Lonchura striata: one gene and its partners. The protein of the gene in region 1 interacts with the protein of each later gene in a pairwise test. Links are inferred from orthologs where the notes say so. Each region holds a gene or a part of one and is shown in the gene's direction. Other genes may lie near its edges.

Region 1 (11,179 bases):
GGACACATCACCTATCAAGGACTGGCAAGCAAGTTTTTTGGGTTTTTGTTGTTTTGTTTTTGGGTTTTTTTTGTGTGTGTGTTCATCTGGGGTATTTTTAGTGGCACTACCTTGCGAGAAGAGACAGCTTTTAGCATATTTTCCTGTGGGAAAAAAAAAAAGAAGAAATCCTAACTACAAAAAAAATTTCATATAATGCCAAGACTTCTATAAGACTGAAGAATTATTATGCACTTGAATTACAATGATCATCCTAATGATTAATGATACAAAGCAGTAATACCCTTCCAAAAATTGTCAAAGGTAATTAAATGCTACTTAAATCTAGAAGACATAATAAAAAATAAAAAATATACTGTACCTAAAGTGTAGTTCTGTTGACTATTTGGAGGTATATTTTCTTTAGCCATGGAGATTAACATCTTGCTAGTTTCAGAAAGCTTCTCTGATTCCTTATTCTGAAAACAGAACAAAATGCCTTAATGTGTCACAAAGTAGAGGAAATATCACACAAAATAACAACATTAGTGATGTACTTATTAGCAGTGGAGAACAGATAGTTTTAAAGTAATGCTGGATTAACACATTAAAATTACTAATAGGAAAACTGTGATAAGAACAGATTTTTTTCGTCATTTGCCTTTTATGGAACAGAAATTTTGAGGCTATTTATACCTTCCATTCCCACTACAACATCCAAGCTCTGGAATGGGTAGAGATCAGATCCCTGCTAATCAGCTTCCCTGAGGAGGGGTGAAGGAGTAATAAAAACCATGTACAAAACTCTTCTCACTTGCAAAACACAAATCTTACTGTGTATGCCTAGTGGCAAACAGGTTTTTAAACATCTACAAAAAGATATGAAGTACTCAAGTTGGAAATTACTTGGAATAGATAGATCTTCAATATATTCTTTAACAACAAATACAGTTTTAAGAGCACAGTAAAGACAAGCTTCAATCAAGACTTTGGCAACAGAAGCATTTAAATTCAGGAAAGCTTTTTAATACTCTTACCCTCATTTCCATGTAAGGTGGATCATTTTCAAGTTCTGCCTTATCTTGTGCTAACTTGGCCTTCTGATCCTCAATAAATTTTTCTAAATCATCCGCCATCATTTCTAGGTTACAGAAAAGACACAGAACGTGGCATTTACATTAGAACCTCAAAAATTTAAAGCACAATTGCTCTTGCTTAAGACAGCAGTTAAAAATAATTAAATTTCTCCCGCAGAACCACAAGCCTTAAGATATTTGCTGGGTCAACAAAACAACTGACTTGCAAAACCCACCCATGGAGGAGACTACTTGATGCTTCACCAGAGAGAAAATTAAAAGATTCCAGATTACAAGACTGGAGATACTTATCTAATCTTTTTTCCTAACATGGTTGAAGTGTTTGGGAGTTGCTTGTTTTAACTGCAAGTCTACCAGTGACTCTTCACTACACATTAGCACAAGCTTACTCCTTATGAACTACAAAATCAAAATTAGAAAACACATAAAAGTAAACAGGATGAAGGAATCATTAGAAAAAAAGTACAAAAAGTTCAAAATACCTGTACAGCCTAAAATAAGGACCAAATCACACAATTAATTCTGTGCTTAACTTACAATCATGAGAAGTCTTAAAAATAATCAAGCTTCCTCAAAACAAAACATAAACTAAAAAAATAAAAAAAGCTCACAAAATACAAGCATAGTGCTTCTGGGGTTGGAGCCAACAGTACCTACTTTCTGTACCACTAAAATAGCAGACGCAATAAGAATAGCTATAGGTCTAAAATAATCCCAAAATCAGGGATATGAGGAAGCACTGACTGAGAATTAGACACTGATCTGTAAGAAAACATGTAGTGAGGAAGAGCTAATTACCTCTCTTCCACTAGTTGTGTACCTTGCATATTAAACTGGAAGTCCTTCGAGCAGAAATTTTAGCACCTGATTTGCGGAATTTAGTGTATATTGCTGCTTTCAATAACCTCATAATAAAAACTGAAGTCAATCAAGTTCATGTCAATGGAATTGTACTGAAGTTGAGTTAGACTAGTCGTATCAGAACTAAAAATACTGCAAAGCATACCAACTACTTATAGAAAAAGAAAGACAAACCAGCAAGAATGACTGCATACAAGCCTACTCATCCTAATCTCTCCCCAGCATTTTCACTAACTCCACTGGAGAAGGAGTTTTACAATACCAAGCTTACTGGCAAAAAAAAAAAAAAAAAAGAAAAAACTCAACTTAGATTCCACACTTAAAAGAAGCACAAAACTAAGAAAGTTATGAACCTCAAAACACTCCATGCAGCTTAAGCAAAAGGATTGCTTATGCAGGTTCCTGAAAAATCCCATCACATCCACTATCTTAATTAACATGGCAGGTTTTTTTCAGGCTAATTCACTATCTTTAGAAGTGAAGTATGAAGTAAACAAGAGGCCAGTGATAAAACTATATTAGAAAGCAGTTTCAGGAAGAGGACTGATGAACTTAAAAACAGCAACAAAAAAAAAACAAACCACCAGCTCAAAGATAATAAGGTAGCACATAGGTAAACATAAAAATAATGTGTCCAGAGAAACTGAGATAAATTCTCAGTAGAAGCAAAATGGAAATAAGAAAATGCACAAATTCTCTATGATAAAGTGAAGTAAGTGCATGCTAATTTAATTTACAGAATACATTTGTTTGATGTATTCCTTAGAATGTAATCCTTTGAACTTTTTATCTTTTTTATTCATAATATAAAATTATAGTATTTTTACAAAGGAGGCAGAACTAGGCCAGCCCATTTACAATTCCTAGTGATAATACAGGACAATCAATGCCAAAAATAAATCTCCCCCATCTGATTTGTCCTAAATCTTTAATCTCATTAGTTTTGCACACTGATAAAGGATAAAAGAAATCTGAAAGAGGATAAGTTCCTAGGCATGGTAAATTTTATTTAGCCTATTAGGTTACATAACAATAATGATAAAATGTTCTGAAGGGGTAAAACAACTTGTCATACTAAAAGAAGGTGGTTTCACCACCTACCCAATGCTACACAGTCATCAAGAGGAAAATAACCACATGTAGGAGGCACTGTGAGAAGCCTTTCCAAAAGCTCACTGACAGTAACATCTGTATTTCCTATCTCTATTTACAACAGCATTTATAAACTCCAGCACTGTTTCCAAATCACTGTATGGGAATGGTACCAAACTTACTCTGAGAGCTGGCATAAGGAAAGGAGTCTTTTAGTGTATTTTCTAACTAGCATGAGGAGTACAATTAATACTGCAGCATTCTGCACTCCTATCATATTGCTCAAAAGAGCAATATAGTAAGTTAAAAGCCAAAGACAAAACAGTTACAGTTAAACTACACAGGGAATTCGACTGGTGTGAAGAAAGCTGGCAACTCCAGGCCTTGGAGAATACTAAGCTGACTAATGCTACAGCACTGTTGATTCAGCTACCTTTAATACAGCACAATTGCCTGGAAAATTCTTACCAAATTCTTCACATAAATATCTAGACATTTTATGTCTTAACTTCCTTCTACCTGTGTTGATCTTCTTAAAATACTCATGAATGCAAACTCTATGAGATAAGCAAAAATAATACATTATAGCAAAAAAGAAAAATTTCTTAAGTTAGTCTAAGCAAAAGGGTGACAAGCTTCAATGTGACACATACACTGTTAAGTTGCAAAAATATACCAGCATGCAAGCAAATACCCTACTGAATATTAGTCAGTTTTATCATCTACTGTACCATGTGAAGAGATCATGACTAATCACAACAAAAATAAAGAAAGAACACATTTCTATATGAGACAAGGGCTACCACAGCCCTCAGGAGTGCAGTAAACTATCTTGGAAACGACAGCACCGAACTCACAGGGAAATGTCAACTTCATACTGACTTCCCATGACTGCACAAACACACTGAGGCACAGCCTGACACTATAGCACCAATTCAGAGCAAAATCATTTATTTTCAGTTTAGCAATACATTTTAATTCTTTTTGTGCATGTCTAGATCCTTGCAATTACTCGTTAAACTAGCAGATTCAAAACCAAGCTGGGACACATCACTCCATGGGCATGTACAGAGCATGAAAGGAAAGTCAGAATATGCTGTAAACACTTAAAAATGTATCCCTATGCCCTCAAAATTATGAGGTGTAAGCATATTTCTCTAGCTTTCTGGAAAAGAGAGTATTTTGTAAAAGTATTTCTAACAAATTTTTGATAGGATGTAGCTATCAGCCTTTCTTTAGCTCTTGCTAAAGAAAGATAATTTGTATTCCCAAAATAATGCATTATACGAAGTCAAATTCCATTAATCATACTGCTCTTTTATATTCAAGTACTGTCTGAAAATGTCCCATAAAAACATTTTTACATACTTTTTCTTTCAAGAAGATTTTAGATTTTCATAGCCTCTTTTCCTTATTCAGAGTTTGCACAAAAGCAACTCTGAGTAATTAGAGTCACCTAGGTAGACTTCAACTTAAGCAAACATACCAAGCAATAGAAAGCATGCAGATATTCAAGAACACTAAGTCAAGTTTGAACAGGAGATTTTTATTGGATCTATGCCCAAAGAGAGTTAACCATGTATGTCTTTCTATTCAAGGTATCTAAAACATCTATGTCCATATGTATTGTATGCACTATATTTACCATGCATTTTGTAACGACTTTATCACCTAAAGCAATGTTTACTGTATCCCATTTTAATCTTTCCTTTCCCCTCCTAATTGTTCAGGAAAACACACAAAATTTAAAATCAGCACGTGCAAGTAGATTTCATCTCTTCTATGCCACCATAATATTGAAATATCAGCAGGAGCACTGGCAAAAAGGCAATTTCTTATCCACGTGAACTGCAGCACAGGTGGCAAGGAGGGAAATGCTTTAAAAGAGCGACTATATGCCAAGTTTAGTAATTGTACTTACAAGCTATACAGCCACTAATTGTGTCACTAAGAAACACTGTTAAAAGTTTAACCCGAACTTCCTGAGGAATTAATACTGACTGCTTCTGTACCCTTGTGAATGGCACTTAGAATAAGCTACTGCTGCCAGAGACGCGCTCCCTGTACTTTTCTTTAAAATTCATTGCGGAAAAGCACAGATTCAAGGGTCTGGCCGTTGATAAATAATAAACTCTTGACTAAAGCAATGCGATTTTTTCGCAACTGAGAAGGCAGTCTATCCTCTGAACAACGAAGCAACAAGTTTGGCGAGTTACTTTCCCTCCACTACAGGGCTTATCTATTTTTTAGAGTACGTAATTTGATCCAAAAATACACTAATTTCGAAAAACTTTCAGACCCAGGAGATCAGGTTTATTTCTGCGAGAGCGACAGCTCGGGCAAGCGCCTCTACCCCGGCCTGCAGCGCTCGCCTCCCCACCTCCGTCCTCGGCAGCACCTCTGGGGCACTCCCGGAGGCTTCTACGCGCCGGGGAGCAGCTGCGGGGCGGAGATGCGACACTCGGGGCTCGGCCCCTTTCCGGATGGCGGCGCCGTTGTCAGGCAACGGCCGCACAAGCGGCCCCACCGGAGGGCCGGGACCAGCCCGGCCGAGCCGAGCCGAGCCGAGCCCCGCCGGGAGCCCCCACGGGGACCCCCAGACCCAGCGGTGCGCCCCCGCCCCGTCCCGCCGCCCAGCGAACGCCCTTCGCGCCCGCCGCCGCCCGCTCCGGGCTGTGAGCGATGCTGGCGACGGAAGCCCCCGGCGGGGCTGCGAGCAGAGTCCCCGGGCGCCGCGCCGCCCCCGCCCGCTCACCGGTACCGGCAGCCACGGCTCCGTCCGCGCCCCGCGCGTTCCTGCCGGCCGGAACGCGGCGGGCGGCGCCGGCAGCGCCCCCCGCTGCCCCGGAGGGCGGCGCGACCCGGCTGCCGCTCCTCCCGGGCGGGGAAAGGAGCGGAGGGGAGGCGGCACGGGCGGGCTCCCCGGGCTGGGGCGGCGTACGAAGGAGCGCAGCGGGTCACCTGGTCCAACCTCCCCGCTCCGGCAGGGCCACCCTACAGCGCGTGGCGCAGGATTGCATCCACACCGTTCCTGAGTCTCTCCAGCGAGGGACACTCCACAACCTTTCTGGGCAATCTGTTCCAGTGGTCGGTCACCTGCACAGGAAAGCAGTTCTTCCTCATCTTCAGGGCGAATTTCCTATGCAACAGTTTTCTTGCCTCTTGTCCTATTGCTTGACACCTCCCAGCAGAGCGCGGCTGCATCCTCTTGACGTCTTCCACTTTAGACACTTATATACATTGATAATGCCGCTTCTCGGTCGTCTCGAGGCTGAACAGGCCCAGATCCCTCAGCCTTTCCTCGCGAAAGAGACGCTCCCGTCCCTTAAACATCTTTGTTTACTCTCCGCTGGACCCTCTCCAGATGTTCGTGTCTCTCTCGTACTGAGTGGCCCCGAACTGGTCACAGTAATTTAAGAAGCACAAGTCAATAAATAAATGGATATAATAGAAAGGCCTCCGCCCGGCCGGGGTCGCGTTTTTGCGGTGCCGGTTCACGGGGCGAGCGCGCCGGGCGCGGCCGCGTGCAGAGCCGGGCGCGGCCGCAGGGGGCGCAGCGCCGCGCGGCCGGGCCTGCGCGGACCGTACCACCCTGCGAGGTGCCCCCGGCCCGCGCTTGGTTCCGCCGGCGGCCCGGGGCGGCGGTGCGCGGCCGGGAGCGCGGCCGGGCCATGGCGGCGGCGGGCAGCGGCGCCTCCGGGAGCGGGATGGCGCAGAAGACGTGGGAGCTGGCGAACAACATGCAGGAGGCGCAGAGCATCGACGAGATCTACAAGTACGACCGCAAGCAGCAGCAGGAGATCCTGGCGGCCAAGCCCTGGACCAAGGAGTGAGTGGCAGGGGGCGGCAGGGCGGGCGGGCGGTTTGGGCGGTGAGGAGCGGCCTGACGGGATGGCTCTGCCTTCCCTTCCGCGGCCTCTGCCTTGTTGCAGCCACCATTACTTCAAGTACTGCAAGATCTCTGCGCTGGCGCTGCTGAAGATGGTGATGCACGCCAGGTCCGGCGGCAATCTGGAGGTGATGGGGCTCATGCTGGGCAAGGTGGACGGGGAGACGATGATCATCATGGACAGCTTCGCCCTGCCCGTGGAGGGCACCGAGACCCGCGTCAACGCGCAGGCCGCCGCCTACGAGTACATGGCTGCCTACATCGAGAACGCCAAGCAGGTAAGGACAGGTGGCAGGGGGTTCTGACCGCCCCCCGTGGAGATCCTGTGCCTCTTGTGAGCTTCAGGAACATACCTGGGGCGTTCCAGGCTTCCTCCCTCCCCCAGAGAGGAAGTGCCTGCCCGGTTGTCCTGTCTCTCCTCAAACATGGCAGTGAGAACTGTCAGCAGCACGGAACGCAGGGGCCTGTAAACATTTTCACATACATATTTCTCTGACTTACAGTAGGTCATCAGAGGTTGGACACGATGATCTTGGAGGTCTTTTCCAATTTAATGATTCGTTGGAAAGTAGTGCATTCTCCTTCCCTTTGAAAATTACTTTCATTGCTGAGGAAGTGTTCTTATGGCTGCTGGTTGTGCGACATAGTGTGTTTCTAAAACAACCGATACTTCTTTCTAAAAACAGTATGCAGAATTAAATATATGTGTGTGTTGGACTACTTAGTATTTATAGATCAGAATTATGACATTCATTCTTACCTTCTGAGATCTTAGTGTATGGTATGCTGCTCTATTCCATTAAAAAAGACGTTTGTGAAGAAAATGTCAGTGAAGGAATAAGTAAGTTTCAGTGAAAATTAATTATTCATATTTATCATTTGGAAATTTAGATGAACTTGCTTGTCTGTTTTTCGTCTTTGTCACTTTCTATTCAAAGAGCCATGTCATATTAAAGCTGACTATACAGTGCAGTTCTCATGTGCAGAAAGATAACAGAAGTATAACTGTGCTCTGTGGCTGATATGTAAACCAGCACAGAACATCAGAGCACTTCCTGATGTGCTTCTTCCAATACAGGGCAATTCTATGCTAGAAATAAGAGTTGAAATAACTTTAACTCTCCAAGCTCAAAGAGTTTTGATACCCAGTTGACGCATTGATTTTTAAACCAGCTAAAATTAGAAGCCCTTTACATACTAAGTGGATATAACAGAGGAGTATTTGGGTTCTTTTGGAGAGTTGGACTTATGTTCATAGCCATAAATAGAATTGAAGATATGGAAATGGATGTGCATTAGGCTGAATCATAACATCAGCAAACAGTAAACATAATGCAGAGATAATTATGTTCTAGAACTCTTGTTGCAAAAAGTAGGTAACTTGAAGAGATGTCTTTGCCTAAAGATACAGTCATGCTATCTTTAAATAAAGATATATTCATAGAATCCCATTCTTAGGTAGAAATACTGAATTTCAAAGTGGTAAGTATATAGCTTAAAATTATAAACAGCTTGTCTTATGTTTAAAACAGTCCAGGTTTCTGTAGGAGTTCTTATGTGATAGGAAATGTTTATTTCCCCATTGTTTATGTTGTTCAGTTTTGTCTGTAGTTGGTTTCACAATTTTGAAAATGAACTTGTGTGCAAATAAAAGAACTCTACTTTCCTGGTGCTGTGGCAGAGCTTTCATGCTGGCTGTTTCATATTTGATTTTGGCAAGCACTTGTTCCTGGAATATTTCTTTTTATCATTAGGTGCTAGTTAATATGCATCCTCCTATAGAAATGCTTTATAGATGCTGCTGTTCCAGTTAGTTGCTTTTCCATGGACAGGATCTGGCCTTAATGTAGTTTAGATGTATCATTTGGCTTTGAAAAATAACACACGTTCTTTAGTGTTTTGTTGGTGTTTGTCATGCAAGCTGTAAAGAAAATACAAATATTCTTCACCAGTTAAAAAATACAGTAGGCAATTCATGTGTTTTGTCTCATTACCAGAGCAGCCAGTAAACAGTTCCTTAGAGAGGATTACAAAAATGAGGTTCAATGGGTGTTTATTCTCCTCGGTTTTTTTGGCTTTGCTCCTTTCTCTTCCAGTATTTTTAGAGATAGCCAGCTGTATTATTTGGAAACTCCTATTTTGAGGTTTTATCTGAGAAAAAGTTGTCCAAAACTCATAATTTGGCTTTTAAACCGGTCTCCAGGCAATAATTTCTGTCATTTCTGGTGTTTGAAAGCATACCTTTGAAGTAATTTTTTAAACCTACCACTGATCTCATAGTATGTGCCTGTGAGATATGTTACCATACTAAAAAATTAATTCTCTACTGACGTTCCCTACGTTATATGAGGTTATATATACTTGTGTTATATCGCTAAGAAATTTCTCAGCCCTGCTGAGCAGCTGCAGCTCACCATCCAGCTGTGTGGAACCTCTTCTGTACTCCAGCTGTCACTGAAGAAGGAGCCCCAGGCTCCTCGAAGGCCTTTGTTCTGTGGCAGCAGCTGTAGGAGAGAATGCCAGTGCCACTCATTGTACGGTTTCTAGGGAATATTTCCCCACGCGTGGAAATTCCCGTTTATCCTGCCGCGCCTTGCAGTGTGCTGGAAGTGCCGCTGGAGGGCAGGCGGTGCTTTGGGAATGGAGCTGGACGCTGGGGCTGTTTCCCTTCCCTGCTCTTTCTTAGGTCGGACGCCTGGAAAATGCCATCGGCTGGTACCACAGTCACCCCGGCTACGGCTGCTGGCTCTCGGGGATCGACGTCAGTACCCAGATGCTTAACCAGCAATTTCAGGAGCCCTTCGTAGCAGTGGTTGTAAGTACTGGCTGGTGGGTGATAACCCTGCACAGCACATCGTGTTGAGGGGAATAATTTTTGGATTTCTGTCTGTTAGCATTTTAGTAGTGTGTACTTTGTATTATGGAGGTGTTGGAGCCACACTTTAAACTGGTGCTGCTCCTGCTTTGCTGGCCAAATACTGGCCAAACCAGTAGTGTTGCTTGCCTAGACCATTTTCACTTCATTGTTTCAGTTATGGTATAGTTCTTAAGCATAAGGGGGTTTTAAGTATTTAGGAAATAAGGAAAATTAGTTTGAAAAAATAATTCACTGAAGGCTATTGATATTCACATCTTTTTAGAGAGTCTCATACCAAAAGAAAAAGTACTGTTTATGACAGAACTAATACAGTTTGCATGAATTACTGAAATAAAATTGCTATAAACTTAATTTAAGCCTGTAATAAAATATATGTAATGAGTATTACCTGTATTTCTGCAGATTGATCCAACAAGAACAATATCTGCAGGAAAAGTAAATCTTGGTGCTTTTAGGACATATCCTAAGGTAAATAGTTAAAATTATCTAGTGTGTGAATACTGAACTGTCTTTATATGATTGTCTGAGTTTGGTCTGCTGTGCTGTACTGAATGTTCATTCCAAAGGAAGATGTGCCTGTACGCTGGTTACTGCATGCCTTTGGATATTGGATTATGTTTATAAAGGTCGACTTCAGGTTTGGTTTTCATAGAGTTTTGGCAGTGTTAAATCAATTACACTGTCCAGATTGTGGAGCTGTCCTAAAATTATGTAGCTCCCTATAGCTGTCTTTTAATGGATATAGTTGTAGGTAGTGTGCATCAAAATTGTTTTATGTTAGTTCTTCTCTGGTATTTTTTTTGGACCTAAAACCAAATGTTAATAGGATGTTTAATATGTCATAATTTGCTTTTCATTTTAGAAGAGGAAAGTTCAAAACTACCTGCTTAACTTTTTCAAATAAATACTATGAATCTTCACAAACTAATGTACAAAAAAGTTAATTAAACAATATGGGTTAGGCTTAAAACTAAGAAATCACATCACTATTGGAGATGTAGGTCTCCAAATGCATCCTCTAATATATTTCTGGCTGTGCTATTTAATTTCAGTCCAGTGAAGTTCGGGTGTATCTTTTAAATACCCAGTTATGAATGACTCATCAAGAACTTCAGACAGCCATCCAGTAAAACAATTACCAAAATTAATTGCTTAATAAAAATTAAATTTTATAATTAACATAAATGATTGTGAGAGGTCCAGGCATTATTTTTGTGTTGACAAAAACTTAAGTTATCTTAGAACAGTTTGTGATTCAGGAGAACATTCACTTCTGTGAGCAAAATTACTTCATAAATTGAACAAGAAGAAGAATTCTGTACCTGAAAACCAAATCACATCTGGAAAATGCACATGAGAAGTATATTTTTAGGGAGTTATCAC
Region 2 (11,090 bases), on another chromosome or scaffold:
TGATTTATTGCCTAAACCCCACCATTGTGCACTCTGTCATTTGCAGCACTTGGATTTATCACCACATCCAGACCAAAACACTTGTGATTCATCAGCAAAGGCACCAGGCTGGAGAGCGGCGTGGGAGAGAGCCTGGCTTCATCCCTTTGGATCTGCCTCTGCTGCAGCCCTGAGATGGGACTGCAGCTCCCAGGGCTGTGTTTGCTGTAAGGCAGCACCCAAAGCACCGTGGTGGGTGCCACGAAGAGCCTTGCCCACCTTTCCCTTGGGTCCATCCCAAGTTTTCCCTCTCTGCTGCTGGGCTAAGCCCCGATGTCCACGGCGTTCCAGATGTTTGCTTGGATGAAGCTGCCCATGGCCTGCAGGAAAGACCCTCCCAGGAGAAAGAGGAGAAAGAGGGTTTCCTCAAGATGCTTAAGGCATCCTCTGGATGGGGGTGCAGGTTTTTGAGCCAAGAACACAGCTCAGCTCAACTTCAGCAGGGGATTTCAGTGAGTTTAATCTGTTTTATACACGCTCCCTCAATTGGCTAATTACTGCTAATTACACAGGCTTGAATTCTGGTCACGCTCTCTTGGAGACCTGGGAGAAGCTGCTCCTGTGTGCCCAGGAGAGCTGGCATGGGACCACATCTGCCACCACAAGACAGCTGTGACCAAGGCAGCACTCACAGAATGGCCTGGACACCAGAATCTGAGCGATGCTGGTGGCAGAGGATGGGTTCCAAGGGGATGCCAGGGCAGAGATGCCCCAGCAGCTCAAAGAGGTGTGCCCAAAATGCATGGACATACCAGAAGAGAATCCAGGGATCAAAGGTGATTCCAGCCACAGAGCCCTCCAAATCCTTTCACACCAATCTTGGCGCAGTGTTACGTAAGAGCAGCCCAGCTCCTGAAAATCTGCCAGGCTGGCGAGCAGAGAGCAGCAAGGAGGAGGTGAGAATAGAAACAAAGAAATAAGAATACCTGGCAGATACCTCTACAATCAATCATGTTTCCAAATGCTGCATATGAGCAGAAATCCCAGGTGTCCAAGAGCTGCCAATGGGATTGTTCTGGAATTTCAGGAGTGTAAGGGAAAACAAAATCTGGATCAGCAAAGCAACTGCCCTCTGGACACTTGTTACCTGTCCCTGGGAAGGCTTTGATGCATCAGCCTCCAGGCACCTGCAGATGGGATTTGCCACTTATTTCGCCTGCATTTCCATGGGAAAAGGCATGAATGAATGAATTAAGGACCTCTGGGGTGCATGGAAAGTCTCTTTCTTGCTCCTGCATCTCGTGTTCAGCGGTGTGTCTCCCACTGGCAGAGGCACAGCAGCTGTTTGACCAATAGCAAATCACCCGACTTTCATCCTATTTCCACTTTCCTGCTCCCCTGACAGCCCTCCTGGTGCTGCTTTTTCATGGGTCTTAATTAGAGAAGCAGCTCAGCCATGAAGCTGGGCTGAGATCAGAGGCCGTGTCCCAGGCTGCAAACGTGCGTCTCTGGCCGGCGCAATGAGGAACATCCACGATGCGCTGCCTTCGAGCCACGTGAGGCTGCAGCCACACAGAAATGTCCCACATGGAGCAGCAAAGTGGGGCTTTGAGTGGCTTCTACTTGTTTTGCATGGTCTGCTCACATCCCCCTGTGCCACTACATCCAAGTGAGCTGTGCTGAGAGTTGCTGACGCTGCGAAGGGGAAGTTGTGCTCACCCCACCACAAACTAGCCGGAAAAGGGGCAAAAACCCCCTTTGCTGGGTGTTCAGCACTGGCTGCTGTCTGTGTTTTTTCCTTTTCCCCTCTGAGAACAGCTCAGCTGAGCCCCTGTGGAAGCCCACAAGATCTTTCCAGCTGGTTATGCAACTCCCTTTGGCCGAGCAAAGGGATTCCTGAGGAAGAGGGGAAGACAGGGCTCCTCTCGGTGCCAAAGCGGCGTCAACTGATCCGCCACGGCTGCTCTCCACTTAAAGCAGGACAAAGCCTCCTTTGGAGCTCTTTCTCCTCTTTCTCCAAGCAGCAGAGCAGATGATGGCCATGCTTTGCCCAAGGATGCTCAGCCATGGACAGGACACATCAAAATGGCTCTTGTGCCTCATCTCAGAGCTTTAAAAGTCAGATTCAACTGAGAAATTCATCAGGAGTATGGAATATGCTGGGTTTTCCTAATCCAAAGTGCTGCAGCAGGAAAAATCCTATAGTGGTCACTGCTATATTGGGAAAAAAAAAGGGACTTATGATATTTTTAAATGAGAAGGATTTTATTGATAGTATTTTTGTGAGCATGAACCTTCCAAAATTCACCAATAGAATATTTTTCCATTTGAAAGTACCTTTCACCAGAAACCCATGAAGTACAACAACTTCTAATAAATAAATTTTTAAAAACCCACTAGGAGGAGAGGAATGGCAAGTCATATTTCTCCCATGTCAAAATTACCTGTCTCAAAATTTTCTGAGCTGAATTTTTTTAACTTTGGTATCCAAAAAATGGGATTTTAACAAGCTTGAGATGGACTTGCCATTGATGTTGACAGCTTTTGGGGGATGGTTTCAGATGGAGACCGGTTGTTAAGATTGGGAAACCATCAGCTTGGTGGAAATCAAGGCCTGGCTCTGTTATGCAGGGTACACCCTTGAGAAGAGTGTAAGGAAGTCTCCAGCAGGAATCCTGCTGCTGGCTGCCTGGGAATGAGGTCTCATTCCATTTCTGCACAAGGTTTGAGTCCTTGGAGAGCCCCAAGGCTGTGCTGGAAGCTCAGGAGCAGCTGCCAGCCCCGAGCTCCTCGCCGGGTTCCGCACAGGAACGCGCAGGATCCACAAGTTTTGTTGCTGGAGGGAGATCGTGGCACCGCGCGTTTTGTAAATAAAACACGACACTAAGAAAACTCCTGCCTGTGCGTCATCAGCTCCCCTTGCAGCAGGACACAGACCCTTCCATCTCCAGATCAGCCTCACAGCTCGCTCCGGCTGCTTCTCTTTTGTCTGACAAATCAGCGCCACCCACCCTCAAAACCCTGCTGAAATTTGGGGGTTAGCAAAATATTTTAGGAATGAAAAGCAAGAGTGTGCATGAGGCTTTATCTCAATTGTAACGCCAGGCAAGCTGGGTGCAAACAGTAGGAGTTATGAAAACATTGGAATCCTGGCTGTGGAGCGAGTTAGGAAAAATAACACCTGACCTACAAGTCACCCATTCTTGTTTTAGCAGTGTTTGGAGAGCCCGTGTAGATCTTTGTTTGAAATGTACACAAACACACTGAATTTCATGGGCTTAGCAAATATGTAATCTAAAAGTGTGGGTGCTTCACATTTCTCAGGATCCGCCTACAAACAGGGATAAATCAGGGAAATGTAATTATTTTTTGTACATATATACACATGTATGTTTGTGTACATGGTGTAAATATGTATTATATTGTACTCACAGTATATATTTATATATATGTACAGAACAATACTGAAATCTTATTTTTCTCTATATGTAGGTGGATATTATATGTATAATTTATATATTCTTAAACTTAACCAGATTATGAGCAACAATACAATAATAAAGCAACACTTGCAAGAGAGGGCAAGGACAAATCACTGGGGAAAGGTGTTTTACACAGAGGTTTCCAAGGAATGAGACCAAAGTGGTGATTTGTGGAATTTAAAGGGGGGAAAGGAGGAAAAGACCCAGAGGTCTCAGAGCCATGAGCTGTGAATGATTTGTACTGAACAAATTGTTAATCACCATGTATTTTGCTAGTAAGAAAGTAGGAAAAGAATTGTAGACAAATTGAAAGAAGGGGTGGAGTTGTTGGTATATGAAGCGTGAGCTTCAAAATTATGGAGTGCTTCAAGCCCATGTGCAAAATTTAAGGACAAAAGGATTTCCCTGGCTGTTCCCTCTCTGGAAATAAATCTGTTCCTTCTCTAGAAATAAATCATTGTTGTGAGCAACACCAGAGAACAAAACAGCTTCATGATACTTATAATGCCTTGGTTGGGTCCCTTTTCTAATCAGGGTGTGGGGCGAGGCTGGTTATTTCCTGCAGAGAAAAGCTACCTTATTAAAAAGATAATTTTGTAGTGGCATTTTAATATAACTCTGGCTCTCCATGGAGTTTACTGATAAGGAAGGGTCCTTTTTTTTTATGATAATGAGAAAGACCCTGTGCAAAAATCCAGCCTGCTCCGAACAGGACACCAAGCATTGGCAGCTGCTGTTGAGATTTAGAGCTGGAACAAGGCGAGTTGGTTATAAAGGTGATGACGAGGCCTTTACAGATTCACCTTTATCTGTCATTTCTCTTCTTTCCTCCTGGCTACACCTCTTTTTACAAGAATTATCAGTGCTCTGGACCTTGCCTGATATGGTTCAGCAAGTGAGACAGATTCTTTGCCCTGACCTTGTTTTGAAGGGCCAGTTCTGTCCTTTCAGAAGTATGGAGTTTCCAGGTGAATTCCCAAGTACGTTGTCTGGGTTGACCTGGGTTGCTAAACTCTTCCCCTCCATCCCATTTCCCAGAGAGTTAACAGGAGTGAAAAGTACTCAACACCCACTAAAGGTGCTCAGATCCCCAGAGAACTTGTCCCTGGAGAGGAGATAAGAGCTGAAGGGTGAGATGAGATGAAGATATTTACAGAAATGAAAACAAGGCCAGGAAGGTTCCTCTGGAAACACAGGACCAATTTTCCTTGTTAAATAGTTCAGCTAAGTCCAAGAGAACAACTCGCCCTGCAGAATTAGGAAGGATTTGAAAGAGAAAGAAAGTATTCGGTGCAAGAGCCGGAGGGGCCCTTCCCCGAGAAGGTGCAGCACAAAAATAGATGTAAATCTGCAAAGGCTGTCACGTTGAAGCAAATCTGAAGTAACTCTATTGTTTTCCATGGGGTTACTTTGGGTTTACACCAGCGTGACTAAGATTAGCATATCAGCTTGGGCGTGCTCCATACGATAAGTGTTCGCTCGGGGAAGTGGAGTGTTGAGGCTGCTCTTGCAAGGGGCCTGAGCCTGTGTTTCAGGTAGACTCTGCATCCTCTTATCTCCTTCCTCCCGCAGACCTGAGGTGTGCTGAGACTGCAAGTCCTTTGCTTTATCACCCGCACGAATCCGAACTCTGCTCCGGCCCCACCACGGCAATGAGCTGCAATGAAAATTGTATAACTGCTGGCAAGGAGGAACCCGACAGGATAGTGGGAGCAATCCACCCAGGGAAGGGAGGGGACGAGGAAAGAGCTCGACACAGCCAGCCCCGCAAATTAAAGTAGGAGTAAATAAAGCAATAAAACAATATTCAACTCGAGGTACAGACTGAACGGTGGGGAAGGCTCGCACAGCCTGTCTCCTGGACAAACACCATCCAGTTTAAACCTCATTTAAGTGCTTGTAACCAAGCTGTAGCTACATATAGAATAAAATAATAAAAGTGTGAAATAAACAGCGAGATGCTTTTGAACGAGGAGCTTCATTCCTTCATCTGCAAGGACTTGAAAGTGCTGTACGTTTGTTTCTTGAAGGATTTGCAGGTGCAGAGCCACGTGTCTGAAAGTGCTCAGGAGCTGAGGAGCTGCTCAGGACACCTTGCCTCAACCCGTGAGGTGGAGGTGGCTCAGTGTGAGGTGAAGGACATCACGGCTGTGCTCCCCCAACCCTGAAGTGCCCCAAAATCCCACCTGAAGCCACCATCTCCCCCACATGTGGGTGTGAGGGGCAGTGAGGGGATGATGTGAGGGCCATGGTGGCTCCTTGATGTCCTCTGCAGATCCCAGTCTGCAAGAACGCCACAAGGTGCAGACCTTTCTCCACAGAAAAAGGTGATCAGACATTGGAACGGGCTGCACAGGGACGTGGCAGAGTCCCTGTCCCTCAGGGAAGGACTGAATGTTACACTCCTCGGTGACATGGTCTAGGTGACATAATGCTGTTCGGTTATAGGCTGGACTCGACGATCTCGCAGCTCTTTTCCATCCTAATGGATCCTGGCACCCTGCGACCGCCACCACTGATTCTGTCGCGACACCGGGAGGCGGCACCGCCGCACTACTTCCCGTCCCGGGAGCGGCAGGATCCCGCGAACCGGGCCGCATCACCGCGCCCGCTCTTCCCGCCCGGCCTATGAAGGGTTTCCGACGGGCCGCGTCGCGCTCGTTCGTATCCGTGCGCCAGGCGAGCCCGCTGAGGGGACGGCGGCCATTTTGTTCAGCGCTGGCTCTGTGCTGAGGGGGCGGGGGGGGGAGCGGAGGGAGCGAGGCGAGGCGCAGAGCAGGAAAAGGGCAAAAACGAGACAGAACGAGGAGCGCAGTCGGGCCGGCCAAGCCGCGAGCGGAGCGGCGGGGAGGGCTCCGCCCGGCCGCTGAGAGGCGATGGCGGATATAGACAAGCTCAACATCGACAGCATCATCCAACGGCTGCTGGAGGGTGAGGGTCGGGGACGGCGCGGTTGGGGGGGCGATGCGCCCGGCAGGTCTGAGGGGGCACTAAAATGGAGGGGCGAGAGGCGCTTTGTCTGCCTGGGGTCGCCGCCTCCCCGCCTGGCTCGCCCCAACTTTCCCCTCAGCCCGTGTGGGTTTCCGAGGCGTTTCTGCCTTTTGATCCCCCGGTGCAATGCTGGGACCAGCCGGCTGCCCCCTTCTCGTCCCTTGCGGTTCTAAGGGGATGCTTAATCTAGTCCTGTGGTGGAATGAGGGGATGCTTAATCTAGTAGTATTTCGTAGGAAGGGCTTTGAAAAAGCCTGGGGTGTTCTCTTGCCTTTCACGCATACACATGGGATCAGTGCATGGCTGGGTAGTGGCGGGGCTCTGGAAATAAGACTCGGCTTGTTTAAAGAGTGTTGAGGCAGCTTTTCAGCAAGTCGGGAGGAGACTGCCGTGGGTTTCAGTGTATGCTGGCTTTAGCTTTGATTAGCTGCTTGCATTAAAGCTGCCACAGGATTTTGGCTCTTAATTCGTAACATATGGTGGGATTTTAGGTGTGAATAGAGGGTTGGGGTTTGGTGTTTCAGACAGTCTGAAAAAGGGCTTATTGTCTGCTATTGTTGGTGCTTTGGGATGAAAAGAGTTGCCTGGGAGTTTGTAAATCAAGGGAAAACCTGGAAGTTGCAGGGGGTGTCTCCAGCATCATCCCTTCGCTTGCAGGGATCAGCACTGGGCTGGGATCGACTGATTTTGGGGCAAAAGACTGAGAAGCTGCCAATGACAAATTCTCTTCCAGGCATCAAGGAAAAGCATAATTATTCAAAGAAAGAAGCTATGCTGATCCAGCCTCACTTCACGTGTGCCAGGGCAGCATCTCATCTGGACTTACTCTTGAAAAGCTTGGTCAGGGATTTAACTTTTTACCATTTGGCACACAGTCAGCTGAGATGGTGCTGAGAAAAATGATGAAGAAATGTCTTTTCTTGCACACTTTTCCTTCTTACAGGATTTTGCTTGTGTAATGCTTAGATAGCAAAAGGTCAGGCAGAGGAACAGAAATTCTACTCTAGAAAATTGGAGTTAAAAAATCCTGTAGATGAATTATGGGATTACTGAATAAGTAAAAGTAAATGGGGTTTTTCCTCTGATCCGGTTTGGGTTTTGCCTGTTACCAATTTAAACCGCCCTGGTTTCAATTATTTAAAGACTTCCCTTCATAAAGTTAGACCAGGATTTTCCTGAAAATCCAGTAATACAACTTGTAAATGTCAGGTCTCGTATGTCATATGTTTGGTGACATATTAATACATGCTCAGTTGAATTGCACTCATTAGTTATAGTTCTTACTGATTTCACTTACTGTAATTAATGCAATATTTCCAAAGTGTGAACTTTAATTTTTAAAAGCATGGCTTAGACCTTTCCTAGAAAGAAATGCAAGTGATTTCTCTGTTTAAAGTTTCAAAAGGTAGTAAGACGTACTATGTCAATGTGTTCTGCTCTTGCTCAGTTTATATCAACATTAGATGGTTGGAGCAGATAAGAATTCATGAATCAGGCTTCAAAAGGTTTACTGACATATTTTAAGAGGTGCTTCGTGCAATTGCAGATGTTACCTGAGGTTGCATCAGCTGCCAGAACTGAAATTAATTTTTTTCCCTTTATTAATACAGCAGCTGGGATTTTGGATGCCTTGAGGCAATGATTGTCTTTCAATATTTAAAACAATTACTGGTGTTAGTAACCTGTGCTAGTGCTTTATTTGTTGATTATTAAATGTCTGTTCTAAATGTCTTTGCCAGACAGAGAGTAATGACTGACCTTTGTGAGTGTCATTTTTATACTTCTTTTTCCTAAAACATGGCTGCATTTCAGCACACACTGCATTTTAGATTTAGATCAAAGAAATTATTGGTTTTCAGTGCAGTTCTGGTAGAACAAGTGCATAATGTTAGTTACACAAAGTGTGGTGTGCCCGTGAGCTCTGTGTCAATACCCCTTTAGACAAGGCTACACACAGATTAAAATCATACTCAGGCATAAAAACACTGCAAAATCTGCTTTAATAATCAGCTCACAAACTGAATTGCCCAAATCCTTGTGCAAGCTGTAATTTTAGAGCTATTTGGTATTTCATTATAGCTCTCTTTAAACTTTAAATACTTACACATTTTTATAGCAGCTAACTTTAGGTGATTTTGGTACTAAAATTTAAAGAGTATGAGCAGGGGGTTTAGCCCTTTCTAAGGGTAACAAACCCCAGCACTAATGAAATACTGGAAATCAGTGGGCAGGTACAGTTAGGTATTTGTTTTATCATGGTCCTTAGCATTGCCCTGTTAGAAGAAGCAGTGAATTGAGTCTAATGGTTGAGGTAGAGTGAAGGGTGAATAATAAATTATTCTTGCTTTTGTCCTTAATAAAGGGTATTAATAATGTATTTGTGAAGGATTTTAGTTGCTTTCTATCCTGACTCCTCTGCTCAACTGACATTATTCCTACTTTTCCCTCAAATAGGGATGTTCTCCCACCCACATTAGGCTATTTAGGTGAAATTATTATCTTTTTCTTTAAAAGGCCTGGAAATATATACTTCAGCTTCTCATTCTAAGGTAAATATTTGAAGAGTCTTCCTTGCTTCAATTGTTTATAGTACAGAACCATTTGGCATTGAGATGTCACCAAAAAAAAAAAAAAAACCCACCACCATTTTTCAGTAGCATTGTTCTCAACCTGGGAAAGCCATTCAGGGAAAACATTGAAAATACTGGTGTGTTTTTTTATTATTATTATTTTTATTTTTCTGTAACCGAATTTGTATTTTTTTCCGTTCTTTACTGATGAGGGTTGTGTCCTGCTAGGAGCAATTTCCTGAGTGCAGCTTGTCTGACTTTGCCAGGTCTGGTAACAGTAATATTCACAAGTATAAGACTTGGAAAGTGTAGTAAGTAACAGTATCCTGCACTGAGTATTGAAATGTTTTTAAGTATCCTTGATATTAGATAAAGGCTCAGATATTGATGGAACTAATTCACCTTCCTGAGGATTAAGAGGGGTCAAATATGAGAGCAAATTTTGCCCCTTCTAGCAGGGGGTACTGAAGGCAGCAACTGCAGCTGTGTGTGCTGAGTCAAAAATTAAAAATACCAGCAGACAAGAAGATGCTAAAAAACTCCTTGTAAGATAAAAAAATCAATGGCACCTGTGTGGTCTTGGGAAGGGTTCCAGGAAATGGCAGAATTCCTGCTTGCCTCAGTGAAGAATGAGTGACAAATCCTGAGACTCCCGGAGTGTGAGCGTGGCTTCCTTTCTGTGTCATGTCAGATGGGCTTCCTATAACTTGAGCCCCTTATCCATTTCCTTCATCTCGTGTGCTGGCAGCTTCTGCAGATAAGCAGGGTCTGCTTTGGAGCTCACAGTCACCTATTTAGAAAACAGGGTTGAAGAGTATTATTCTTACCATGGTAACAATAAATAATGTGTAAAATACCAATTTCAGCATACCTAAATCACCCAAGTTGGAACGTGTTTCTGCAGATCTCTCCTGTGCTGCATCCTCTGCAGGCTCTGTTAAGGGAGAATTGAATAATGAATGGAGGCTACTTTGGATAAAGCCACATGAGGCTACAATGGTGGTAGCCATTCTGAAAACTGAAATCCTGGCTAGTCCTCTAAAATCTGCAAAAATACTCTTGAATCTTAAACATTTCTGTTTATACACCCACAGATTTCTATTCCCAGTAAAGCCTGTTGTAGAGATGTCAAGGAGATATTCTCTCTTAATTTGCTTTAAATGGGGAAAGATTATCATCTACTTATTAAAGTGGATAAGATTTTGCTCACCACAGAGAAGATGTTTTCTCACAAATGCAGTCCTATAAATTTTTTTCACCTTTCTGCTAAGTACAGCATTAATTGGGTCTTCAGGGTTGCTTGTCCTTTAGCTGCATATACTGGGGTAAGAGTGATTCTCAGAGATGTTAATCTGAAATGTCACATTTACTCATGAATGAGTTGGGATGCTGTGATGAAGTTTCTCATAGACAAGCAACACTTTTTGATTTCAAACCATATCATTCTCCCTAGTTTGTGTAGCTTGATGTTAATTGTTTCCTGCTGTGGTGCAGCAGTTGCTATGAATAGGAAATAGAAACTCATAATTCTAAAGAATTACGAATTAGATTCTTATCAATGCCATGGATTCAAATAAGTCTGTGAAATTCTTTGCCTGTTGCCCAGTCAGAGAAGTGGAGGAATTTGTTCCCTCTGTTTGTGAGCAGTGTGAGTAGCTGTTACTCCTCACCTTTCTGCAGTGTGGAAATACGTTACAAGGTGAAAAACTTGTAATCGTGCAGAACCTTCCATTTGATAACACTGCTGTGATCTTTGGACATACTAGAAAGCAGATGAGAACTTTTCAGAGCCTTGTGCACTGAGGAGATGCTTTTCCATTTCAGTTTCGAATTTGAAGAGATCTGATCAAAGCTGGTAGTGCCTGCAGTAAAGTAAAACCTTTTTTACATCAACCACTTTCAAGTTATTTATTCCCTTTGTGCCTATGGTGCAAAACTGACTGTGAAACTGTCATTGGGAACTGCTAAAAACTAGATTAAAACCAACCTGCAGTATTTTTGGAAATGTCACTATGATTGCAGACGTCTTAACATAAAATATGGTGAAACTGAGAGACTTGTTTAATAA
Region 3 (8,924 bases), on another chromosome or scaffold:
CCCAGCTCCTCTCAAAACCCCCTAGCTCCTCCCAAAACCCCCCAGGTCATCCCCAAACCCCCAGCTCCTCCCCAAAGCCCCCAGCTCCTTCCAAAGCCCCCCAGCTCCTCCCCAAAGCCCCCCAGCTCCTTCCCAAACCCCCCAGCTCCTCCCAACCCCCTCCAGCTCCCCCCAAAACCCCCCAGCTCCTTCCCAAACCCCCCAGCTCCTCCCAACCCCCTCCAGCTCCTCCCAAAACCCCCCAGCTCCTCCCAAAACCCCCCAGGTCATCCCCAAAGCCCCCAGCTCCTCCCCAAAACCCCCCAGCTCCTCCCAAAACCCCCCAGATCCTCCCAAAGCCCCCAACCCCTCCCCAAAGCCCCCAGCTCCTCCCAAAACCCCCCAGCTCCTCCCAAAACCCCCCAGATCCTCCCAAAGCCCCCAACCCCTCCCCAAAGCCCCCAGCTCCTCTCCAAACCCCCCAGCTCCTTCCGAAACCCCCCAGCTCCTCCCAAAACCCCCCAGCTCCTCCCAAAACCCCCCAGATCCTCCCAAAGCCCCCAACCCCTCCCCAAAGCCCCCAGCTCCTCCCAAAACCCCCCAGCTCCTCCCCAAAGCCCCCAACTTCTCCCCAAGCCCCCTCGGGTCCCTCCAGGAGCTCCAACCTCCCCCCTGCCCCTTCTCAGGCCCTTTATAAAGAAACCGCGGCGCTCCTGCCCCTGCCAGTGACTCTCCCAAATTCCCACTCGCTGATGGGGGGGGCGAGGCTCAGCCCCGGGGGTTGCTTCTGCCAAAATTTAAAGGCGCCCCCCGAGCTGGGGTTTGGGGCATTTCCCACCCCCGTGAGCGGCGGAGCAGCCGCAGCTTCGGCCCCGTTTTTGTCCAGCCCAGCCCAGGACGCTCGGGGGCTTTGCCGGGCTGGGCTGGGCCGGTTCCCGGTGCCCGGGCCACCGGAGCAGCCCCGTTACACAACGGGGCCCGGAGACGCGCCGCCCTCGCCGTTAGGAAACACAAATCGCTGCCAGGAGACTGGAAAAGAGGAAAAAAACCCCTCGGCACAACCCCCGGCTCGGCAGCAGCCCCAGAGCCGAGCCCCGGGATGCTGCCAGGGTGGCACCGGTGCCCACCGGGACATCCCCGATCCCGGGGGGCTCTCCCGGCCCGGGTGGTCCCCGGGCAGCCCCAGGGGCTCATTTTGCCCCTCCCAAGCCGAACCGGTTCCTCGGCAGGGCGGGCCGGGGGAGCTGCCGGGTTTTTTTTCCCTTTCTCCTCCTTTTTTCCTTTCTCCTCCTTGTTTCCTTACCCAGCCCTGGCCGGTCGCTGCCTCCCGGCCGGGTGTGGCCGGGCGGGGCTATAAATGCCAGGGCCCGAGGCTGGCTCCTCTTCCGCCCTGCCCGCTCTCCCGTGCCCGCCTGAGCTCTCGGTGAGTGCTTTCCCCCCTCTGCTCCCTCTCCAGATGTTCTCCAGATGTTGGCGAGGCGCGGCTGCCCCACCTGCGGCGCCCTGGCAGAGGTTCCTGCTGCAGGTGCCGAGCTGGGAATGTGGATTTCACGGGCGAGGGCTGGGAAAAGCTCCGGAACCCCTTCCCTGCCCCGTCCCCCCGTTCCGGGGCTGCCCAGCCCGGCCGGAGCCGGGCGGGGAGCGGCGCCTCCCGGGACGTGGCACATCCCGGGGCCTGGCACGGGCCGTTCCCCGGGACCGGCCGTGCCCGGGGACGCCGAACTCCTCTGTCCCCTCCTCGTGTCGCCAGGCTTGCCGCTGTCCCCATGGCGTGTCCCCTGGAGCAGGCGCTGGCCGTGGTGGTCGCCACCTTCCACAAGTACTCGGGCAACGAGGGCGACAAGTACAAGCTCAACAAGGCCGAGCTCAAGGAGCTGCTCACCAAGGAGCTGCCGAGCTTCAGCGTGAGTGCCGGGCCGCTGCGGGCTGCCAGGGGGTGCCAAGCCCGGGTTTAACCCCCCCTTTCCCCCCTGCTCCCCGGGCAGAAGCAGACCAGCGAGGAGAGTTTACAGAAGCTGATGAGCAGCCTGGACTGCAACAGCGACAGCGAGGTGGACTTCCAGGAGTACGTGACCTTCCTGGCCTGCATGGCCATGATGTGCAACGATTTCTTCCAGGACCTGCCCGACAAGATGCCGCGCAGGAAGTGAGGGCAGGGCCCGGCAGCGCCCCGGGACCCTCCCGATGTCCTCCCGATGCCATTTCAATAAATCTCTTTGTAAATGAAGCGTTCTGGTCTCAGGGTCTCTCTGCCCGGGCTGGGGGAAGCCGGGGGCGATGGAGGCTGTGCCTGGCTCTGCCCTTGGCTCTGCCCTTGCCCCTGGCTCTGTCCCTGTCCCTGTCCCTGTCTCTGTCCCTGCCCCTGTCCCTATCCCTGTCCCTGTCCCTGTCCCTGCCCCTGTTCCTGTCCCTGTCCCTCTATCCCTCTATCCCTGTCCCTGCCCCTGTCCCTCTCCTGTCCCTGCCCCTGCCCCTGGCTCTGCCCCTGTCCCTGTCCCTTTGTCCCTGTCCCTGTTCCTCTGTCCCTGTCCCTGTCCCTGTCCCTGTCCCTGTCCCTGTCCCTGTCCCTCTATCCCTCTATTCCTATCCCTGTCCCTCTGTCCCTCTATCCCCGTCCCTGTCCCTGCCCCTGTCCCTCTGTCCCTGTCCCTCTATCCCTCTATCCCTGTCCCTGCCCCTGTTCCTGTCCCTCTGTCCCTGTCCCTCTGTCCCTGCCCCTGTCCCTGTCCCTCTGTCCCTGTCCCTCTGTCCCTGTCCCTGGCTCTGCCCCTGTCCCTGTCCCTTTGTCCCTGTCCCTCTATCACTCTATCCCTGTCCCTGTCCCTCTGTCCCTGTCCCTCTGTCCCTGTCCCTGTCCCCCTGTCCCTGTCCCTGTCCCTGTCCCTGTCCCTGTCCCTGTCCCTCTGTCCCTGTATCCCCGTCCCTGTCCGGGGTGGACTCCTCGTTCCCGAGGCCTCCCGAACCTCCCCCGGGGCCCCGTGGGGCTGAGTCAGCCCTGCCCGGCCCCTCCTTCCCCGGAGCCGCGGACGTCCCGCAGGGATGCGGGCACGGCTCCGAGCTGGAACTGCGCCCGCCCGGCTCCGTCGCCCCGCGGCTGTCGCGATTGTCGCCTCCCCACCGGCCGCGTTCCTGCCGGGGTGCGGCTGTGCGGAGCAGCCGCTTCCCGGTGCTCCGGGCCCGGCCCCGCCGCTCCGTTCCTCCCCCGGCGCCCTTTCCCCTCGCCATGAAAAGCTTCGTCCTGCTCCGGGCTCCAGATGTGCCACACGCCCCTTCCAGATGTGGCTGTGCCCCCTCCATCACCTTCATGCTCAGCTCCTGGGCGCCACAAAGGGACAAAGAGGAGCGGGAACGGCCTCAGGCTGTGCCAGGGGAGCCTCGGGGTGGATATCTGGAAAATTCCTCCTGGAAAGGGCGGCCAGGCCTTGGAAGGCGCTGCCCAGGGAGGGTTGCAGTGGCCACCCCTGGAGGTGTCCGAGATCCTGGGATTTTAAGATTTGGGGAAAAAAATATCTCCATCCCTCCAGAGTCAGAGAACCCCCAGAGCACGGGGCTGCACCACCCCCACACCCACGGCAGGTGAGGGGGAACCCCAAAATCCTGGACCTCACCTGTGGCTGTCTGTAGGTGGAATGATGCTGCCCAAAGGGATCCACCCTGAATTCATCCCTCCTCGTGAGATCCACCCTGAATTCATCCCTCCTCGTAGAGATCCACCCCACACCCTCTCCCCTCACAGAGATCCACCCTGAATTCATGCCCACTGTCAGGGATTCATCCTAAATTCATCCCTCCTTGCAGAGATCCACCCCACACCCTCTCCCCTCACAGAGATCCACCCTGAATTCATGCCCACTGTCAGGGATTCATCCTAAATTCATCCCTCCTCGCAGAGATCCACCCTAAATTCATCCCTCCTCACAGAGATCCACCCCACACCCTCTCCCCTCACAGAGATCCACCCTGAATTCATCCCCACTGTCAGGGATTCACCCTAAATTCATCCCTCCTCACAGAGATCCACCCTAAATTCATCCCTCCTCGCAGAGATCCACCCCACACCCTCTCCCCTCACAGGGATCCACCCTGAATTCATGCCCACTGTCAGGGATTCATCCTAAATTCATCCCTCCTCGCAGAGATCCACCCTAAATTCATCCCTCCTCACAGAGATCCACCCCACACCCTCTCCCCTCACAGGGATCCACCCTGAATTCATCCCCACTGTCAGGGATTCACCCTAAATTCATCCCTCCTCGCAGAGATCCACCCCACACCCTCTCCCCTCACAGAGATCCACCCTGAATTCATCCCCACTGTCAGGGATTCACCCTAAATTCATCCTGCTCACAGGGATCCACCCTCTCCGCTCACAGGGATCCCCCTCCTGTCCCCATGGCACTCACCTGTCCTTGTCCCCCTCCCCAGGTGCCCCAGCCACACCCTCTGCCATCCCCAGGCCTGCCTGAACCCGTGTCCCTGTGGTGCCACCCATGTCCTTGTCATGTCACCCGTGTCCTTGTCGTGTCACCCGTGTCCCTCTGCCCAGCCCACGCGTGTCCCCTTCCCGTTGAGGATGCGCCCATCCCCGTCCCAAAACCCGTCCCTTTGTCTCCCTCTTTTGCAATTTTGGGCTTTTCTGGCACCGGTTCCCGGTGCTCCGGGATCACGAGGCTGGCGGGGAGATGTCTCACCGCCGTTGTCATCATCACTTCCCAAAAACCTTCATCACCAGCACGGGGCTCCTCACCAGCCCCCTCCAGGCACGTGGGGCTCTGCAGCTCATTCTGGCCACTGGGAGCACTGGGGGGCTACTGGGAGCACTGGGGGGCCACTGGGAGCACTGGGGGGCCACTGGGAGCACTGGGGGGCCCCAGGCCTGGGGGACAGCTGGGGGTGGGCACATTTGCCAATGCCCTGGGTTATCCTCGGGCAGCAATTCCCGCTGCCGGGAAGTGGCACCTCCCAAGAGAATTTTCAGGCTTTGAAAATTCTCTCCCAGTTCACCTCCCACGCAGCAGGGCTGTGCCCGGGGGTGACTCCCTGCATCCAGGGGGAATGTCCTCCTGCAGGGGTGGGATGTGCAGCCCACCCCTGGCACCTGGGAAGTGAATTGGGAGAGAATTTTCAAAACCTGATGAAATGAAATTGAAGTTTTTCAAATGTCTCTCAGTTGGCCCCGTCTGTGAGTCAGAAAAGGGATTAACCCGAGACCTGTCCAGCAGCCAAATTCACCAAAAATTGGTGACAAACTACATTCCCACAGGTAAAACCCACTGGAGACCCCCACCCAGAAAAGTTCCTCTTCAATCATCTACATCGAACACTTGGGGAACGTTCCAGAAAATCTCCTGCACCATCGCTGTAATTTTTGGTGTTTCCTTGTTTTGTCCGACGAGTTTGGGGCTTCCCCTCCCTCGATAACAGTTCCTGGATGGGGCGAGGAACCTGAAATCCTCACCTGGGCGTGCTGCGCTGCCTTGCACAATTCCCGGGGTGACTGCCCTGACGGGAGCCGAGGCTGGCACGGCTGGCAGCTCCGGGATGGTATAAAAGGTGCCATCCCCAGCTCAGCATCACCCGATCCTCCTGCTCCTCTCGTCCCTCTGCAGAGCCCAGACCTCCTCCGAAGGTGAGCAGCTCCTCCCAGGTGCTGCGGGACGAGCGGCCGGCGCCGGTCCTCGGGTTCCGTTTGGCCGCTCTGCGGAACGAGTCAAACATTTCACGCTTTGGGACACGGTTTGGATGTTTTGCTCTTTGTCCCTTCCCAGCAGGATGAAAACCAACCTGGAGCTGGCGCTGGAATGCGTCGTCAACGTCTACCACCGGTACGCGATGCGGCACCCCATGGATGACTACCTGAGCAAGAACGAGTTCTCCAAGCTGCTCAAGGAGACGGCCGAGCCTTTCCTGAAGAACACGGTGCCGGTGAGAGCCCGGAGCCGTGGGGTGGGGAAGGGGTTGGGGGATCCTCTCATTCCCAGGAATGTTGGGCACCTCCCGCTGGATTGGGGTGCTCATCCTTGGGCACTTCCAGGGATCCTTGGGGATGGGGGCGGGCCACAGAATTCACAGAGTCGCTGGGTTGGAAGAGACTTCAAGAGGATCGAGTCCAACCCAGCCCCAACAGCTCAACCAAACCCTGGCACCCAGTGCCACATCCAGGCTTCGTTTAAACTCCTCCAGGGGTGGCGACTCCCCCCGGCAGGCCACCCCAGAACTTTATCCTGGGAGCTTCCCAAAGCGAGGAAGGGTTTTTGGGGTCCAGCCCTGGCTGGGTGAGCCTCGTGCCACAGCTGGGGACGGGCAGGGTGACCCCGAGCTGCCCGTGCTCCCCCACAGCCCAACACCGGCACGGACAGCTACATCCAGCAGCTCTTCACCAAAGCCGACGCCAACCACGACGGGCGCCTCAAGTTCACCGAGTTCCTGACCACGCTGAGCCTCGTGGCCATCGATGCCCACAACAGGTCCCACAAGGACCCTGGTGGTGACCATGGCCACGGGCATGGGCACGACCACGGGCACGACCACGACCACGGGCACGGGCACGGGCACGGGCATGGGCCTGGCCACCGTCACTGAGACGGGAACATCGCCCACGGTGGCCGAGCCAGGGACTCTGCGTCCCCCCAGGAGCCTCAGCCCTTGCCTGTGACCAAACCTTTGTCACCTGCTTCTACTTCGTGGCATTGAAATAAAATCTCTTCCTTTGAGCACCAAACCCATCCGTGTGCCGTGTCCTGGGGAGGGGCTGAAACCCAGATTGAACGGGAAAAGCAACGGGAAGGGGAGAGTGGCACGGGGGGGCACTGGTCTGGGCAGAGAGTGGGGGTCAGGACAAGGTTTTGGGGGGTCCCAGTGGGCAGCACAGGCCGAGGGGGCTCCTGGAGGGTGTCAGATCCCAGTGTGGAGCTCCAGCAGGTGCCAGAGGTGAAACACAGCTGGGATGGGGGGGTCCTTCCTCAGGTCTCTGCCAACACGCAGCCCTGGAACTGGGGGTGCCACATCCTGGGGGTGCCACATCCTGGGGGTGCCACATCCTGGGTGTGTCACAGCCCAGGGACACCAGATCCCGAGGGTGCCACATCCTGGGGGTGTCACAGCCCAGGGACACCAGATCCCGAGGGTGCCACATCCTGGGGGTGTCACAGCCCAGGGACACCAGATCCCGAGGGTGCCACATCCTGGGTGTGTCACAGCCCAGGGACACCAGATCCTGAGGGTGCCACATCCTGGGGGTGCTGCATTCCTGGACTGCCACTTCCCAGGCGCCTGTGAGATGTTTTTGTGACCCCCCCAAAACAACCCAGCAGCCCCAGCAAAGAACGAGGCCGAGGGGCTCCGGGGGCTCCGTCCTGCGAGCTGCTCGGAGGAGCGGCCGCTCTGCAGAATGAGTCAAACATTTCATGGTTTGGGACACATCCCCCAGGTCACCACACACCCAAAAGCCACCGTGGGCTCCTGGGGGCTGAAGCAGGAGGGGAGAAGAGCTCCTGGACCCATCAGTGTGGGGGAACCCCCGGCTCAGGAGGCTCCAACATCAGCCAAACCAGGAGCCTGTCCCGGGTGAAACCAGGGGCATTTGGGTGGTTCCTCGGTGACACAGGGCAGCTCTGAACTTGGGGAGCCACCCTTGTCCCTCGGAGGAAATGTCACTCACTGCCAACCCCGTGTCACTCGGGCATTGCTGCCCTTGCAGGGATGGGCATCGCCAGCTGCTCCCCCACAGGTTTTAGGGGAAAAATGGGGAAATTTGGAACTGCACCAGAGCACCAGATGCTCTCCCTGCCAGCTGGGGGACGAGGATGCAGTTTGGGATGGGTGTCACTCCAGTTTGGGATCCCAGTTTGGTATGGGTGTCACTCCAGTTCAGGATTGCTGACACTCAAATTTGAGATCGATGATGCTGCAGTTTGGGGTGAGTGACATTCCAGTATGGGATCGCAATTTGGGATGGATCACCCTCCAGTTTGACATTGGTGACACTCCAATTTGGGATCCCATTTGGGGATGGGTGACACTCGAATTTGGGATCCTAACTGGGGATAGGTGACACTCCAATTTGGGATGGATGACACTCCAATTTGGGATCCTAACTGGGGATGGGTGACACTCCAATTTGGGATCCCATTTGGGGATGGGTGACACTCGAATTTGGGATCCCATTTGGGGATGGGTGACACTCCAATTTGGGATCCTAACTGGGGATGGGTGACACTCCAATTTGGGATTGGTAACAATGTAGTTTGGGATGGGTGATGCTCCAATTTGGGATCCCAGTTTGGGATGGGTGACACTCCAATTTGGGATGGGTGACACTCCAATTTGGGATGGGTGACACTCCAATTTAGGATCCCAATTGGGGATGGGTGACACTCCAGTTTGGGATTGGTAACAATGTAGTTTGGGATGGGTGATGCTCCAATTTGGGATCCCAGTTTGGGATGGGTGACACTCAATTTGAGATGGGTGACACTCCAATTTGGGATGGGTGACACTCCAATTTAGGATCCCAATTGGGGATGGGTGACACTCCAGTTTGGGATTGGTAACAATGTAGTTTGGGATGGGTGATGCTCCAATTTGGGATCCCAGTTTGGGATGGGTGACACTCCAATTTGGGATGGGTGACACTCCAATTTGGGATCCTTATTTGGGATGGCTGAGACTCCGCAAGGAGCGGGGCCGGGAAACAAAAGGAGCGATGCAGTGAGTCAGGGATACCGGAATAAATCTGTGCAATGCCCTGGGGATACAGGAGCATCCTCAAACAGGAACGGGCACCTCCAGTTCTCCTGGTCCTTCCCTGCTCCTCCTACCCATTGTCTGCTTTTAAATCTTCTCATTGTCTGATTTTAGATTTCCTCATTGTCTGATTTTAAATCTTCTCATTGTCTGCTCATTCTTGTCCCTGACACGCGTGACAAGAGGTGACATTTGGCATG

Evidence for each region.
Region 2: the proteins of COPS5 (region 1) and PPP1CC interact in a two-hybrid assay, tested with the Homo sapiens proteins (2 studies listed by BioGRID and IntAct). The link is inferred for Lonchura striata from reciprocal best matches to the Homo sapiens genes COPS5 and PPP1CC.
Region 3: the proteins of COPS5 (region 1) and protein S100-A12-like interact in a two-hybrid assay, tested with the Homo sapiens proteins (2 studies listed by BioGRID). The link is inferred for Lonchura striata from reciprocal best matches to the Homo sapiens genes COPS5 and S100A7.

The regions. Positions count from the first base shown.
Region 1 is NC_134603.1:34,857,923-34,869,101, forward strand, and holds the start of COPS5 (COP9 signalosome complex subunit 5), read left to right. Parts: upstream 1-6,667; 5' UTR 6,668-6,700; coding exon 6,701-6,858; intron 6,859-6,961; coding exon 6,962-7,196; intron 7,197-9,604; coding exon 9,605-9,733; intron 9,734-10,198; coding exon 10,199-10,264; intron 10,265-11,179. Other genes in the region: CSPP1 (centrosome and spindle pole-associated protein 1), read right to left, coding at 362-458, 1,017-1,118. UniProt on the Homo sapiens protein: Probable protease subunit of the COP9 signalosome complex (CSN), a complex involved in various cellular and developmental processes.
Region 2 is NC_134620.1:11,977,623-11,988,712, forward strand, and holds the start of PPP1CC (serine/threonine-protein phosphatase PP1-gamma catalytic subunit), read left to right. Parts: upstream 1-6,227; 5' UTR 6,228-6,337; coding exon 6,338-6,392; intron 6,393-11,090. UniProt on the Homo sapiens protein: Protein phosphatase that associates with over 200 regulatory proteins to form highly specific holoenzymes which dephosphorylate hundreds of biological targets.
Region 3 is NC_134635.1:3,173,249-3,182,172, forward strand, and holds protein S100-A12-like, read left to right. Parts: upstream 1-5,751; coding exon 5,752-5,904; intron 5,905-6,318; coding exon 6,319-6,561; downstream 6,562-8,924. Other genes in the region: protein S100-A4-like, read left to right, coding at 1,746-1,883, 1,965-2,129.